Xenopus tropicalis: one gene and its partner. Each later gene encodes a partner of the first gene's protein in a complex. Links are inferred from orthologs where the notes say so. Each region holds a gene or a part of one and is shown on either strand. Other genes may lie near its edges.

Region 1 (8,687 bases):
TATTCACAGCCCAATGGCAGTGACCTTTATACCGCTCCATTCAACTTTGGATTTACACATGGTTTCTTACATTCATTGGCCTCTGATCACCCCAAAAAACCCCATACTCCATACAAATGAAGGTGCCAACACTGCTTCTGGAGACAGTTTGGAACTCAGCAATAAGTGTATCTACAGAAAATTTGTGTCAATATTTTTGACAATATTAAAACATTCTGTCCAGATATTTTTGACAAACTTTGACTAACTTACAACTAATATATAATATAATCTGTGATGCAACAATACTGAGAATGGCACAGAACGTCACCTCATTTGCACCATCAGTTTAATAATGTACACATTTTAAATATAAATCAGGACCCAGGCACATAAGTCTATGAAAAAAAAAATCACATCATTTATTTGAAAATTAAGTCACAAAACATGACTGAAATGTTTCAGTCTCAAAGGAAAAAATAAAAGAAACAGCACTTGTCAGTGAAACAGAAAAACAAGAATATTGATCAAGGGAATGAAACTGCATGGAACACTGGCATTAAGTACATGCTTTGTGCAATGATGCGTCTTAGTCGCCTGAGACTTCATGACGTGACCAATCATTGCTAGGCAGCTGCATAACCAAGTCATTGTAAGCATAGTATTCTCTGTTTTTTTTCTTTAATCTGTCATATAGCTTCTGTTTGGAGGCTTGCAAGGATGTTAGATCACAAAAAAAAAGTATTTACACATTTTACTGTAAAATGTATATTTGTTTGCCAGCCATAACATACAGTCCTATACAGAAATATAGCAAAAGAACACCGAGTAATATAGCACAGACCAAAGGGTAGTGGGGTACAGAAAAGGGGAATGTCAGATTATAAATAAGCAGTTGTGCATTCCAGGAGGTGCAAGAATGTAGCCCTGTGATTAAGGATACTGAATGGTTTTCTCTGCAAATCCGAATTCACGTGATTCCAGTCCCATCACTTCATTATCCAACTGCCAGCAAGTTACACTGCAGGTTATGAACCCCTTTATTATTGGGTTCTAGTATCAGCATAGGTTAGTTTTAGTACAGAATGGTAGCTCTTATAAAATAAACTTTATACATATAAAACAAATAAAGTACAAATTCATCTTCATAAAACAGAGATCACCACTCCGGCATGGGAAAGCAGACAATGCAAGTATTACTTTAACCTTAATATAAAACATATACTGCTATATTATAAGCTGTCAGTCAACATCATCCTTACTCTTATCTGTACTATTCTGTACTATTTCTACCCACGCATAAAAGTCATTAATACAAATTAGCTGCAACCTAAAGAGGAGGAAGTGGCTTGTATTCCCCTGCTGCAGGCAAGTTATGGGGTATAGAAGTGCAATGGAGTTTCCTAGCTCATCACCCAAAGGTTAGTTTCAAAGCTGATCATCACAGGGAACAAAGTGGGAGCAAATATACCCCTTGCGGTATCAGACAGTGCAGCTGTCTTGGTTCTCATTTTTTCCCATCTAACATAACTGCTTATATTATACCTTCTTCACCCTCATTACCACCTCCTCTCTACCCTGCCCTAATGCAGTGATGGATAGATGATGATGGTTAACTAGCCCTACTGCAAACTGACTGACTTTGTATGCTTTACCCTATTCAGTATATTCTCTAACAAATACCTGAGTTTTTAGGGCCTAGTACAAAAATCAATAAGCAACTGTGTATTTGTTTATCCAAGTCTCACTGGCTGTAGCCAATACAGATAGAATGTCGACAAAACGTCCCTTGTTTCCTTCCCAGCAGCTAACATGCAAATAGCTGGTGGGAAACATACACTGCATTTTGGCTTTCCTTGTAAAGAAACATTGGCCAATTTTTTGCCACGCATATTTTCCCACCAGTGATTTGCAAGTTAGATGGTGTCAAGGCTCTGGTGACAGTCTCATTTGCAAAGTGTCTCTGAAAAACATCACTGAAGATGATGTCACGTGTTGCTTTGTTTGGAGCAATGGCCAAGTTATGAGGAAATAGGATTTTTTGGAAATGAAGTTTAACTCACCCCATGGCCAAGTGAGGCTTAATCCAGCAGCTTGTGTCACGCCTTACTTACTATTCCATATCCAAGAGATAATAATGGTAATAAAACCAATACAGACTGAACTATTCCCTTTCAAAAAATGACTTCATTAAAGAAATGTAAACAGACATATACAGAAAACAAAATCTAATGAACAAAATCAGCAATTGAAGTAAAAAAAAAAACAAAAAACATAAAAAACAGACAGACAAGGCATTAGGCTTGACTTCAGAATACACTAGGATCTGATTCACATGTACCAATGAACAAAAGGTGAGAGATTGTTCTGGAAAGTTTAGATGCCTTTATAAATGACGCTATATTCTCATTAATGTATACATTGCAAAGCTGTTCATCTCTCTATATAATTTTAAAAAGTACACTGTGTACACAGGGAGGTCTATGAAACGGAGCCACCCAACAATGCACGTGTATAGGCGCATTCTTCAATAATGTCCTCACCAGATTTTCTGATAGAAACGGCTCTTCTGTTCCCTAAGTCTCAATGTAGAATTCTCAGTTGGCACAGAAATAGAGGCAGCTTTTGAAGGACTATTTCTAGAAAATACCACTTTTAAAATGAACACTTTCAAAATCAACACAACCCTCAGCCCCAGAACTGATCACAGACATGCAAACCTTTAAAAAAAAGGACATACTTACACCTTTAATTGTAGCAAAGCATTGTAAAGGGCACGTTGCCTATGCTCTAGCATTTTTACAAGACAATATGCTTTCAACAATTGCAATAACTTTATATATAAAGTACTGAAAGAATTTCCACCCCGAGAACAGAATGAGTTTTCCACTAGGAAAGCTTCAGTGCGTCAGACACAATGTGACCAATGGATTTAGTAACACTTACCAATCTGGGGGGTACTGTTTTCGTATAAATATCTAAATGCATTAAGAAATATTGGGCGGGGACAACAATACAGAATTTTATTGACACTGTTGGTTACCAAAAACTAAAAGATCATCACTTAGGTAGCATCTTTCATACATTATTTAATAGCGCCAAAATGTTAAAAAATTTAAATATTTTAAAACCTCTTCCTATAATATGCAATGCCATAATACAGTCAGCCTGGCAGGAATACTGAGTTGGAGAATGACAACATTTGGTTACGCACACAATTGAATTCTGCTGTGTATGGAGTTATCCTATGGAGAATCTGTTCTCAAAGTCAGGGCAGCGCCAAAGCGGAAAAGAGGTGCCCGGAGACAAGAGTGGAAGATAAAAAGGCCATTTAGCTTTGCAGTAAATCAACGGCAAGATTTTTTTTTTTTCACAGTAATATGCGACGTGGGATGGGAGGGGTCCACAAAAAACAGCAAATATTGCTTCAATTCCATATGAATCTTTTTTTGATATCTTTCATTTGTCCATCGTATGTAAAAATCTTCTGACGTCCATTCAGGTAAAGTCAGTTTAAAGCTGCAAAACAAAAAGCTATACAAGCACTTTATGAAACATTAAAAAAAAAAAATCGCTATTTACACGTTCATGTCTACATGTCCAGCACACATTACAAATCACGTAAAGTACCCACAGCTAATGACAAACGATTGTGGCTGTAAATGAAGGGATATGATATTTAATGTTTAAGCGTGTTGTCGTTCGTCGGCGTCTCCTATGCACGAGCAGCCTCGCGCCGGCTCCTATAGCAGTGGCCCTTCTAGTTCACTTCAGCTTCAGACTTCTGCTTTGTCCGGCTTCATCGCTTTTTGGCAGATCTGCGCCTTCCCTGGGGTATATAAAATTCAGACATTATTTAATGATTAATGGCAAACCACCCGCAAGAATACAATGCAACATTGTCATTGAATTTGTGTTTAATTAAGGTATTAAATGATGAGTTAATATAAATGTAAAAATTACAATAGTGTTCAACCATTCTGTCAGTTGACCCTTATAATGATGAAAGTGGCTTTATGGCTCTTTTTTGCAACTACATGACGGTTACAAAACTACACTTTATCCATATTGGGTGAAAAACGCACCAACCCATGGAATATTCTATGTGAGAAGTGCATCACCATGTTTAATCATTTTTCCGGTGGTTTCTTTCGACACATGGACCAGTACCAGATAACTGAAGGCTTATTTGCAGGTAACTACACAAATGGAATTTATTATTCAGAATGCTTGGGACCTGGGATTTCTGGATAAGGGATCTGTCTGTAATTTGGATTAGTTTAAGCCTACTGAAAAAATATTTAAACGTTACATAAACCCATTACGGCTGCCCCCAACACAAATTTATGCTAGTTTAGGGTCAAGTACAAGGGACTGTTTTAAATAAATATCATCAGGGCCAGGACTAGGGCTGGGCAGAAGAGACACGTGCCTAGGGCATAACGGCGGAGGGGCACTAGGCATGTACCTCTTCTGTCACCTACCCCTCTGGGTCCCTGGGGTGGGGGGGAGAGGCTGGCCAGGTTGCCTAAGGCTTCCCTAGGCAACCCGGCGTAGCATTACATTTTCTTTTATTACGCATTAAACATTTTTGGGGAGCCCTTTTAACCCTGAGAAAAATAATGAAATTCTAGAAAACACTTCAATTTTACCTTTTTAGCAAATTTAGCTAATGATAAGATTGCTTAATCCTGATAGCATCTAGAAACAGAATCTGCGTGGAGTACAAGTCCACCTACCTACTGTATCAGACAGTAGATATGACACATTATTGGAAAAGTTGACACCAGACTTACCAGTGAGGGGCAAGAGTATGTTATATTTTAATTAATTTAAAACACTCATTTTTTTGGTGCTACTTTTCCTTTAAGTGCCTATAGAGCAAGTAAAATTTAGGGAATACTTACAGTACTAGGAACAACTACTTCTTCGTCTGCAGTTTCCTCTTCATTAGAATTGTTTTCACTAAGAGCTGGACTATTCTGGGACATTTCGATTTCTTCTTCAGATTCTGGTTCTTTACTTACTACCTTTCTTGGTCGCCCAACATTGCTTAAGAAAGGAAAAATTAAAATGAGTACATTTTGGTGCAGCAAAGCTGTATTTTAGCTTATGTTACTGCAAGTGCAGTATGTGTTGATTTTATTAACTACAGCAGGGAGAGGAAGCCAGGTCTGGACTGGGATTCACTAGGCCCTGGTGTTTCAAGTACACAGAGGCCCAAACAGGCCCAATAAATAGTGATATTGGCATCCGTCTATGGCATCTTACAGAAGCCACTTTGGCATTTGACAGTTCAGGCCTGCAAGAGATTACAATGGTTTTACAAAAATAATAACAGTAAATATACCAATGGAATGTTTGTAGTGCTCTTATGTCTTTCGCTTTAAAGTTAAATTTTTAATCCAAATAAAGAATGCCTGATTTCTTTGGTATGTAGTATATAAAAGCTAAAACATGATTTTGTTATCCGGTGGATGGGTAGCCTAAACGAAAGTCAAGTCTTAGGACCAAGGTGGCAATCCCTCCAAAAAAGCTAAATAAAACGTTTCAAAATCTGATACATTATATAAAACAGAGTCAAGTTCTAATCATTTATATAACTTCACTATGAGGGCAATTTAAACTGTCCGTACACTGGAAGATACTCAGTTCAGGGACTTTCTAAAGGAGCAATTGTTTCCCAATTTGGCCAGTTTTGTGATGGATCTTATCAGGGGTTGTGTGGCCAATGAGCCAATGATAAGAGCAAATGACAGAGTTGTGCATATCCTACAGGGTACCCTATATATTCTCTAGCCGTATGTAGTTCTCTTGCAATAGAATTTTTACAGCTAAATTGATGAATCTGTAGCTGAACAAAGACCACATTATTGATCATGAAAACAGTCATTGGGGTCCCAGTTTAAAGGACAGAGCATGAGCTCTTCGAACAGGCTCACTTTACATGGCATTTAACTGGGAGTAAAAATCTGAACTTACAACCTGCTCTAAAGAGCGAACTAGGTAACTAAGTAAAAGCTTAAAACAAAACTTTTAATTCAAATTAGAATTCTAATTTTTAGAACTATGTAGAACACAAGAATTGAAATTGGATAAAGCTTTAGTGTGTACCCTTTCTTTTCCTGCACTGTGGAAGCTTTGGGTGGCCTTCCTCTCCTCTTCTGTGGTGTAGGCTGACTGGTGTTGAGAAGAGAATCGGTTGAATCAGACCTGATAATGCAGACTCAATTTAGTACAACAACAATTATAAGTTCGCTTTTTGGGGAGTCAGAAATAAAAAGCACAGCACTTACTTTTGAGGAGTCCTTCTTGATGAGCCCCTGCCTTTCCGCTTCTGCACTATGTTTTCAGCATCTTGCTCTTCACTTATTTCTAGATTATCCTCTTCTTCTGCTTGAACACTTTCTACTGGTGCAGCCTTTTTCCTCCCCCTTTTAGGAGTTGTGGCTGAAGGTTCCTCTTTTGAAAGGGCCATTTTAGCTGACTTAGGTGGTCGCCCTCTTCTTCCCTTTTTAGGTGGGCTATTTTGTTCATCTTCATTTTCCAACATGTCTTCTTTTAGCCTTTTCTCCTGCCATGGTTGTTCCTCTGATTCAGAAGAAGCTGCAGCTCGCTTTCTTCCTCGCTGACTAGTCCTTGACTTTGGTTCCTGCACAGGTTTTGATAATTCATCCATGCATATACTGTCATCTTGATCTATAAGAGACTGCTTTCTTCCTCGCCTTGGCTTTTCTACCTCAGACTACAAAGAAAAAAAAAGCAATTATCATTGTTTTCCACAAAAATAAACTTAATATGAGCCTACTCCAGAAAAAAAGACAACAACTCCCTTGTATAAAATTAACATGCTCTGGTTAGTAGCAGTTACTGAAGCTGTCTGGGTGAATACTAATGAGCACAAGTGTTCACACGCAACCAACCAATCATTTGATTACACTATGTTCAGAATTGATGATATTGTTGCCAGATTTATAAAGTACATGTAGAAATTATTTTTCTGTTAGCATGCTGCTTTAAAACTAGCAAACAAGAATATTGATATGAAATCTGATGTTACTCTGCAACATTTCATAAAACTTCAATAACAAAATAAAATTGTCCTACCTTCAAAAGGTCGGAGTCGTCCCTTTTATCACTTTTTTTTCCAGACAGAGGAGAAGACATCATTGTGTAATCTTCATTTTCACTCTGATCCAATTCTGTACTGTCAAGTCTGTCATTTATTATAAGAAAGCACAATATAAATCAACCAGTCAATATAAATCAACCAGTCTCCTTTACATTGTAATAGCAAGGGCAAATAACACATCTGGTCATACCTTCCCTTAATCCTCCCAGGAGAGCTTGGGTTAGAACCACTGCTAGCGTTGCTTACAGTCTCCATTCTAGATGACTTGGACTGCATTTGCTTTCCTGCGCTTGATAAGGGCTTATTGACGGCACCCAGAACATTTGTAGATTTTGGCTGAAAGAAAAAGGAGAAATATAAGATTTTAATATTTGGTAGGCAAAATAATTTGATGGTTGATGTGTCCCATGATCCTACAACCCACAGCCTGGGATGCTTACTCCTTATGCATGAGTGTGTGCCCCAACAAGCAGTAACACTCACTAGAAGTAGAACACTTTTGTTACCCCCAACCAAAGTAGGGCTGTTAGCACCTGGATCACCTTATAAGCATATTCCTCTATTTGCTTTGAGCAGTCAACTGGTACTAAAATTCTCAAAAAGAGCCGTACCCAGTGGCAATTATTTCTATACGTAAGTGACTGACTGATATCCACACTAGCACAAAAAACATGAAGAAACATGCACAAAATTGTTACTCCATATGGATGCCATAAATATAAATTAAAGCTCACATACAACCTAATTTAAATTTGTTGCAAAAGAATGGCGTCCCCCCACATGGGATAGTGGCATGGTGAATGGTACCTGCCCCAGATAGGAAAACTTAAGCCCTTTAGATTGTAAGCTCTTAAGAGCAGGGCCCTCTGATCCAGTTTGTTATAATTAATCTATGGCACTGCTGGCGCTATATAAATAAATGATGCTGACGCAAGAGCTGCTCATAGTGTAGCTTCTGCCTATACATCCATTCCACCAGCTTGTGTGTCTGAAAGTCAAAAATTGCTGCTCTAAAAGTAAGTGAATGCAAACATTGGAGAAAAAAAAAAAAGAGCATATTATTAAAAGGTCTGCAAAATGGGCAGAGAAATATCAAAGCGAGACTTGTGATGTTAGCTTATGAATTAATTTGTTTGATATCTCGGCATTTGATGTTTTTCAATCACATCAAACACATTTTGTACCTTGGTTTCTTGAGACGAGGTAGGAATTTAACAAAAGCAAATACAGCTGCTTGGGCTGCACAAACAGTAACGCTTTTAGAAGGATAAAGAGTGAGAGAAAAAGTATTTTACAATTTGTAAAACAAATGAATCTAATGTGCAAATCTCTCAAATGATTATCCGAACCTGAGAATATGGAAGCCATTTTGCTAACTCGCTCCTTAGTCAGGAATCTAATGACAAACATGGCAAAAGTGTTTGGACAAAGCAAATAGACACAACTCAAAAAAACTGCACATGCAACACCACCTCAATTTTGGAAGCAAATTCTGTGTTTACCCTAAAGCCAAGAACAGCCCCTCAACTGGCATTGACCTTACCCTGTGCCTGGATGCTGGTACGTGGTGTGGATT
Region 2 (8,825 bases), on another chromosome or scaffold:
GTACCATAACTTTTTATTGAACAAGCTATACCTTTCATTGGATTGCCCATTCAAGTATCTGTCTTTCCATTTATTTCTTTTAAATTCCTTTGTGTATGTACAAAGCAGCTGCTCAGATGAATGGTCTAGCCAAGAAACTTAATACTACATAGTTAAAACCTTTTTTGTATTTGTATATATATATACATACAGAAAAAAATGCAGTGCAAGAAGCAAACACTTGGGGTCTGCAAGCTGAGGAGAGTCATAAGGCACCCAGGCTATCTCTTAGGCATCACTGATCTAATTCTTCTAGAAACTTTCCTAAACATGCAATTACCATTATTAAGACAAATTTATAAAGCACACATTTCACAATGCTGTAGAATACATGGCAGAATAAGTACAAATAGTGACCAGTAGAAGTGGTAATATATATATATATATATATATATATATATATATATATATATATATATATATATATATATATATATATTTATTTATTTTTATCTTCTTTCCCAGTCTCCAACAAAAGCCGTGTATAATGCAAGACACTGGAATCAACCAGAGTCAGAGGAGCTTCCAGCTGTTCCAGCTTTCAAAACTCAGACTGCACCTGTAAGTCAACTTTTATAACTTATGTTAATTGCTTTGTACCTATGTACCTAAATATTCTGGAAACTTTTTTTTTGTATTAATGACTGTTTCCTACTAATGTACTGCAGCTGTGGATAGTATAGTGGATGTCCTACCTTAAGGCTAATGCCACACCATGCATATGCGTGTATTTTTGGCAAGCATTTTTTGGCTTGTTGAAAATATACGCCATACGCATGGTGTGGCATTACTTTTCACTTTGAAACTTTTTGCGTAAATCATTTGATTTTTATGAAAAAAATCTTGAATGAGTGGACAGGATATCCCTGTCTCATTGTAAGCTTTTGGGGGTAATGCTTATTTGCTGTTCTCTGCAAAAATTAGGAGGGGCTGATTTGGAAGTGGTTCTGTATATATGTTTTGACAGTTTTGAATGCAAAAGAATAACTATTAAAGCACCTCCTTAAAATAGTCCAATTTAAATGTCAAAAAAGCTGAATTTACAGTGGAATGCTAATATTTTGGGCATTTTTCTGGTTAATTTAGTCACTAAAATTATATCTCAGGTTGGCACTTATGTGGAAGCACCACCTCCATCTTTTACTCACCAAACTTACACTTGCAGTGGCAGTACTGTGCAGTGGCCTCATTTTTTGATTTTGGTGTACCTGTGTGCACAGCGAGAACTTCCTTATTGAATTTACAGGGAGGTTCCTAATATATTTAAAGTGGACAGAAAATTCAGCTATGTTGTCCTAATAAGCTTGTATTTTTGTTTTCTTTAGAAAGGTGTTGATGGAAACCTTTTTAGCAGCATGATACGTGATTGTATGTCTGTAGTCCTCTGTACATTTTGTTCTTGGGCTTTATTATGCAATTTACAGTGATGTTTGCCCTATTTATCTGTTTTTAGGCAAAGCCATCAGATGCACCATGCGCAAAAGATGACGGGGTATTTAAGGCTCCAGCACCTCCTCCTAAAGTGATAAAAACTGTTACAATTCCCACACAACCATATCAGGATATTGTGACAGCACTAAAATGCAGAAAGGAGCACAAGGAAGTGAGTGCTTGTATTTTTTTCTCCCATTTTCTTTTCAAATGTTTTTAGAGTAGTTTGTACATTGCTTAATTTGTTTTGACCTTTTAGGCCTACGACATAGACTGTGTCTTTGCCAATACGAAAAGCATTAATGGTTAGAATGCCCCTTTTTGCCTTTCACCGCTTTCCATAAATTTTCCTCTCTCATTACTAGGCCTGATGTAGGCAAGGCATTTCCCAAGCACCTCTAAGGGGAACCATTTCTTTTAACCATGTCTAAAATTTAATGTGGCCCTTCAAGTAATTTTATGGCCTACTTTATGCCCAAGATCTCCACCTAGGCAAAAATAAAATATTTTGTCAGTGTTATTATAATCCATCCATGCAAAATAGCTGACAGTTATCCCATTGCATTGAAAAACCTTGGACAGTACTGCCTTAATGGAGTGACATAACATTAACATTAGATCTGACATACCATCGTTGTATACATTTATTTGTGTTACACTTCTCATGCCAGTGCAGCAGTGCTCTAGTATTGCATGGGTTAAACTACTTTCTTTTAGCTGGAGAGACACTTAAGGTGGCAATACACGCTAAGAATCTTCTCCCGATAACCCCGCCTAAGGTCGGGTGATATCTGGCTAATTCGGTCTTTTGGCCCTGGGCCAAACTATCAAATTAGAATGGCAGGTATAGGCACCGTTGGTTCAGGACCCGCATCAACTAGCCGATGTGGTACCTGATCCAACGGAAAAATCATCTGCCCTATAGAGATCTGACTGATTTCAGGCCTTCTGCACTCACCATTCTAGGGTGATTTTCTTTGGGACATAAATCAGACACGCCCTCATGTGTGATAACATTCTGATATAATTCTGAAACACAGTATGCCCATATTATTCCAATGATATGTTGGTATCATATGCCAGTAACTGGGTAGCTGCTGAACAAAAAGTGAAATAATTCAAAAAACACAAAAGTAATCAGATTCTCGGAATCATTGTCTGCATCATAATAAATGTTAATATAAAAGCAAACTACACTTGTAAAGGGCATGTAAAGCCTACATTTACAATGTGTATAAGATGGGCACATCTCCCTCACCCAAATGTACTGCATATATCCCCTCCATTTTCCAGCGCCATCACACCCAGTGGCTATTTTTCCTCTGAAGCACCATAAGTGCATTACATCTGCACAAAAGCACAGGTGCACTATAAAGTACACGCAGTGAAGAATGCGTGCTTCTGCAGGCAAAACTTACTGTGATCCTGCTTGGATTGAAATGGTTAAGCTGATTTCAGGAGAGGAGGTTAGGAGAAAAAATAGGTGCAGACAGCTAGAACAGAGTTTCTATGGAAACCAGCAATGCGAAGAGCAGAGCTGAGCACGCTTAGTAGCCAACAGCCAAAGTAAATTCCTGAGAGAGCGCTGAGTAGGTTAGAGGAGGACAAGGAAGAAAGGGTAAGTAATTAAGGGGATGATGCATCCTCACTATTAACCTTTGAACAACTGGAGCAACAGATTTTTAAAGATTTCAGGGAGGTTTACATGTCCTAAAAGAAAACCGTACCCCTGAACATTGGGGGCAGTCCGCTCTTTGGTGTGCTCAGAAACTAAAGGCACACATACATGCTGGTCTATATGAGCCAATGAATGGACAGAGCTCTGTCATCTACTCTCACACATTATTTCCTGTCAGGTGATCTCTGAAGGACCTACACTAAATAGTGGCTCAAGGGAAAAGATGTACCGTATATACTCGAGTATAAGCCTCGAGTATAACCCTCTGCTTATACTCGAGACCCTCCTGACCCCCTGCTGGTGATTCCCGCTGCCCCCGCCAACACGACAGCCTACCCTCAACCAACTCTAAAGCCCCACACGCACACACACTGCACGGACAAAAACTCCTGCAAAACTAAGTCGCAGTTTTACATACCGGCACTTGCGACTTAAAGTTCCCTCAGTCCCGCTCTCTGCTTATGCCAGCTTCCCAGAACCGCCATCCTCCTAACTGTGCACTCCTCTGCTCTGCTGTGCGCGCTTCTGTTCTGCTGGGCGCCGCAGTCGCACCAGTGACGTCACGCACCCCCTTCAGTTACCTATACCTTCTAAGATGAGGCCATGAGTAACTGAAGGGGGCGCATGACGTCACTGGTGCGACTGCGGCGCCCAGCAGAACAGAAGCGCGCACAGCAGAAGAGCACACAGTTAGGAGGATGACGGTTCTGGGAAGCTGGTTTTGGCTACACTGCCTGACCACCTTGGAATGTATGGAAAGTTGGCTTTACAACAGATAATAATGTGATCCCGTTGATAGAGGTTTTATCTGTCATGATGGAAATTTTTCATCGGTTTGTAATGGAACTGCCCATAACTGGTAGATCCTCAATAAGAAAAAGGGGACTAGGAAGGCCTTTACTGCAAGAAGAAGGTATGTAGCAAGTCAATGTGAGGAACCAAGGCAGAATTTATTGAGAGCTTCTCACAGTTGTAGCAGATACTGGTTTCTGGCTCCCCTATATCTCGGTCATGATCAGCATGCAGTGCATAAGCCTCTGAGCTGTCACTATGGCTCCACTAGGTTCCCAATAGTCTAATCCTAAACACTCTAGTTCCCTGGCACTCAACTGCCTTGGGTCTCTTCTCCAAATAATCCCTCTTCGATGGGACAAACTGTCCTTATACCCTGGCTATCTTGCACTCCTAGAGAGACATAACATAAATCTCCTAACCCACTTCCTAGAACTAACATGGTACTGCCTGCCACCTGGTCTGGCTCTGTGGTCGTTTTGCTTGACGTTCCTAGGCCAAACAGGAAGTCTCTAGCTACTGAACTTTCTTATATACATGTAAGTTCCTGTAGAGGAATTCCCCCACAGGCCAACTTGTTACACTCTTGTCTAACTATTGCCTATTATACACTCTTGCATCTCTATTTAAGTGTGGACTTACTCGGGTATATAGGCAGGAGCAATAGGTTAATGTCAGTATGCTTTCTGCTGAGAATGGGGTGATCTGTGTCAGTTATCTATTATCAGTTCTCAAGCAATATCGTGTAACAAGATTATCCTGCTGTGCTTCGTGTGCTGGCTCGCTCGCACCAGCCCTACTGGTGACACCCTAGGCTTATACTCGAGTCAATAGGTTTTTCCAGTTTTCTTAGGTAAAATTAGGTACCTCGGCTTATATTCGGATCGGCTTATACTCGAGTATATATGGTAAATGGAAAATATTTTCTGATATACATGATTTGTTGATTAAGTATTCATTCCGTATAACTTCAGTACAGCGAGTGGGAAGGAGATTCACAGACCAAAAATGTTTGTCCTTTTAAAAAGATAGAAAACCTCACAGGAATGAAATGTAAGTGGCCAACCTAAGAATATTTACTCAGGTGTAAGAAAGGAAATGGGAAGGAAGTATCATTTAAAGGAGAAGGAAAGCTAAAAACTAAGCTTTATCAGAAAGGTCTATGTAAATACAGCCATAAGCACTCGCAGAAATGCTGCACTGAATTCTCTGCAAGAGAAACAGGATTTGTTGTCTTTGTTTTCCTGTACCGGAGACACGCAGCTCTCTCCTCTCTCCTGCTCCCGCCCCTCCCTCAAAAATGCTAAGAACCCCCCCCCCCCTTAGGAATATGTGATCTGAGCCAATCAGCAGGAAGCTTCCTCATAGTCTTACAAACTGCACATACACACCGGTCTTGGTGCAGTGCAGTGTGTGAGGAATTATGGGAACTTTCTTTACAGAGCTCAGCGTTTTTTTTCCTTTGAGACTTCTGATCAACTGAACGGGAGAAATATGGGGGGGACTTAAGGGCACTATTGAGACAACTGAAGGTATGCCTGCAGCTTGAGATATTAACTCTTTGTTAGCCTTTCCTTCTCCTTTAAATAACAGTAAAAAACAAAACTGGAATAGATTGCTTCTATTTCAAAGACTAAAGCTGGTCATACATATACTCATTTTGATTACAGTGGGTAAAAGTGCAAGTCCATTAAAAGAATAATAACAATACACTGCAGAGCTCCTTTTTCATATTTATCTAATGGGTATATGGCCATGTGAATAAAATTTTAGGTTTGTGCATCTTCTGCTAAGGTGCAACTGATTTGGCCTGTTATCTGCATGTGGTAACTTGCCCCTAAAAAGAAAGGTCTATTTTATGTATACTTTGTTTAATCTGCTGGTAACATACCTTTATTTTGTTCTAGTTATATACTGTAGTTCAGCATGTAAAGCACTTCAACGATGTTGTAGAATTTGGAGAGAATCAAGAATTCACTGATGATATTGAATATCTGCTAAGTGGGCTTAAAAGCAGTCAGCCCATAAACACACGTTGCCTTAGGTAAGAGATATATGCCTTCCTAGGCAGTGCCAACAGTCTCTGCATATATCTGCATGCATGCTTTTGGTTTTATGCCTTAAACAGATTCACTGACCTAACTGTGACAGAGGTAGTAAACTAGTCTTGTCACTGTCTTCCCCTTATTAATGTTGCAAATTATCACAAGTGGCTGATTCGGAGTTGCATATGTGATATGCTGACCACTGGCCTTTTTAAGCTGATTTCTTTGGAGGATTGGGATGACTGCTTGTACGGCTGGAATTTTTAATAAGTTATTACAAATCTATTTTAAAGAAGACTACAATTTAACTATATTTCTTATCCTGAAATCATGTCATAGGACATTTTTTTATTTTGCATCTTGATTTTTAAGAAATTATATATTTTTTTGTATAGTTCTCTCTGTTAAGATTTGTAAATTTTGTAAACTGATATATGCGTCTCCTCGTTACAGTGTAATAAGCCTGGCGACAAAATGTGCCATGCCAAGTTTCCGAATGCATCTGAGAGCGCATGGAATGGTAGCCATGGTCTTCAAAACACTGGATGATAGTCAGCAACACCAGGTATTTTCAAACCGTCAACTCAAGACTTGCTTTCATTGCACCATTAGGACTATTATAATAAAGATCATTATAATAAAAAATAACAATAATAGCCTCAGAATTTTTTAGGTCGCTGGTAACAGTAAAGCAGAAACAAATTAAAAAAAAGTGTGTGTGTATAATATATATAATTTTTTTTTTTAAGGATAAGTAAGCCTTTATCATAAAAGCCCCTCATGTCGATTCTGTGTCACAAGCAGCTAATTTCTTAGCTACTTCCTAGTCTAAAATGAAGCTCCACCGCTTTTTCTTTGCTGAGTTCTCCTTTTGATAGACATGAATGGTACTGTACTGCATGATTAGTAATGAATGTCAGTAGCACTTTGATGTGATACATCTGCTGCTAAATCATCACATCATTAGGGACAGGGATTCTGTCATGATTTTTATGGTGTCATTTTTATTTCTAAATTATGCTGTTTACATAGTAAATTATTCACTCTAACATTTTAAAATGGTAATTCTTGAACCAACAAATATATATATATTTTTTTAGTTTGTAATATTGGTGTGTAGACAGCCATCTCAGTGCATTGTGCCTGAGCTTTTAAAAAGAGCCAGCACTACACATTAGAACTGCTTTCAGATAACCTATTGTTTTTCCTGCCTCCATGTAACTGGAGGAGTCTTAGGGCTCTGGCACACAGGGAGATTAGTCGCCTGTGACAAATCTCCCTGTTCGCGGGCGACTAATCTCCCCGAAATGCCATTCCATCAGCGAAAATGTAAATCGCCGGTGGGATGGCATACGCGGTGGCGCGATTCCAGTGAAATCGCAGAAGTTTCCTCTCGAGGCAACTTCCGCGATGTCACTGAAATCGCGCCGCCGCGTATGCCATCTCACCGGCGATTTACATTTTCGCCGATAGGATGGCATTTCGGGGAGATTAGTCGCCCGCTAACAGGGAGATTTGTCACGGGCGACTAATCTCCCCATGTGCCAGAGCCCTTAAAGAAACAGTAACATCAAAAACTTAAATTGTTTTAAAGTAATTAAAATATAATGTGCTATTGCTCTGCAAAAAAACTGGTGTTTTTGCTTCAGAAAAGCTACTATATAAATAAGCTGCTGTGTAGCCATGGGGGCAGCCATTCAAGCTGGAAAAAAGGAGAAAAGGCACAGGTTACATAGCAGAAAACTAGTAGATAAGCCCCATATAATGGGGGTTTGTCTGTTATCTGCTATGTAACCTGTGCCTTTTCTCCTTTGAATGGCTGCCCCGATGGCTACACAGCAGCTTACTTATATAAACTATAGTAGTCTTTCTGAGGCAAACACACCAGTTGTACCAGTGCAGGGCAACAGTACATTATATTGTAATTACTTTTATACACTTTCATTTTTTGGTGTTACTGTTCCTTTAAGTGGGGCTTGGATTTCTTACTATTGAGTGCTATTCTGCTATCTACTGGGAGCTGCTATCTTGCTGCCTTCCCATTGTTCTGCTGATCGGCTATAACTGAAGTTTATCAGAGCTCAGGTCACATGGCTGTGGCACCCTGGGAAATGAAGAACATGGTTAACCCCATGTGAAATTTTTTGATTTTTGAAAAACAGATTTCAATGCAGGATTCTGCTCAAGAAGCTCTATTAAATGCATTTTGAAAAAAAAAACTTGTTTTGCCATGACAGTATGCCATACCCTATATTTTTTTAAAGTTGAGTGGTGCTAAGAGTTCAACAGGGCAGAACATAATCTGTCTGTTATTCATTGGCAGCTAAGCTTGACAAGGATATTTTTTCCTGAATTATCTTATTAGTTCAAAATAAGTAATGGTACATTGTTTTCATGAGCATTTATCTGTTTGTTTATATCTGGTTTTGTTTTTTCATTATTAGAATCTAGCACTTTGCACTGCTGCACTGATGTATATACTGAGCAGGGATCGCTTAAACATGGACCTAGATAGGGCGAGCTTGGATCTTATGATCCGACTTTTAGAAATGGAACAAGACCCCTCAGCCAGACAAATGAATGAGAAAGAAATGAACAAAATCAAAGAGAAGATACGCAAACTGTGTGAAACTGTCCACAACAAACATTTAGATTTGGAAAACATTACGGTACGTCCCTATCAGGGTTGTTCATTCCTTTGTAACAATTTTAAAGTAACTTATATGGCTTCTCAACAGGTTTTATGTGGCATTTAGATTTTTTATTTTTCATGATTCCTTTTTTTTTTATTTTATAGCAAATCGCAACTTTCCATAGGAAAGACCGTTTTTCTTACATGT

The links.
Region 2: the proteins of pds5b (region 1) and wapl are in contact, whole or in part, in a crystal structure (PDB 5HDT), measured with the Homo sapiens proteins. The link is inferred for Xenopus tropicalis from reciprocal best matches to the Homo sapiens genes PDS5B and WAPL. Residues at the interface, in NP_055847.1 of Homo sapiens: Gln47, Phe88, Ala92, Pro93, Ala95, Trp137, Val138, Lys139, Ser140, Asn142, Ile143, Phe145, Glu146, Glu187, Gly188, Asp189; in NP_055860.1 of Homo sapiens: Lys7, Thr8, Tyr9, Ser10, Arg11.

What each region holds. Positions count from the first base shown.
Region 1 is NC_030678.2:153,044,644-153,053,330, forward strand, and holds the end of pds5b (sister chromatid cohesion protein PDS5 homolog B), read right to left. Parts: intron 7,448-8,687; coding exon 7,302-7,447; intron 7,196-7,301; coding exon 7,087-7,195; intron 6,725-7,086; coding exon 6,276-6,724; intron 6,193-6,275; coding exon 6,094-6,192; intron 5,032-6,093; coding exon 4,887-5,031; intron 3,809-4,886; coding exon 3,779-3,808; 3' UTR 3,339-3,778; downstream 1-3,338. UniProt on the Homo sapiens protein: Regulator of sister chromatid cohesion in mitosis which may stabilize cohesin complex association with chromatin. May couple sister chromatid cohesion during mitosis to DNA replication.
Region 2 is NC_030683.2:49,057,302-49,066,126, reverse strand, and holds part of wapl (wings apart-like protein homolog), read left to right. Parts: intron 1-504; coding exon 505-600; intron 601-1,492; coding exon 1,493-1,642; intron 1,643-5,847; coding exon 5,848-5,984; intron 5,985-6,438; coding exon 6,439-6,550; intron 6,551-8,429; coding exon 8,430-8,654; intron 8,655-8,825. UniProt on the Homo sapiens protein: Regulator of sister chromatid cohesion in mitosis which negatively regulates cohesin association with chromatin. Involved in both sister chromatid cohesion during interphase and sister-chromatid resolution during early stages of mitosis.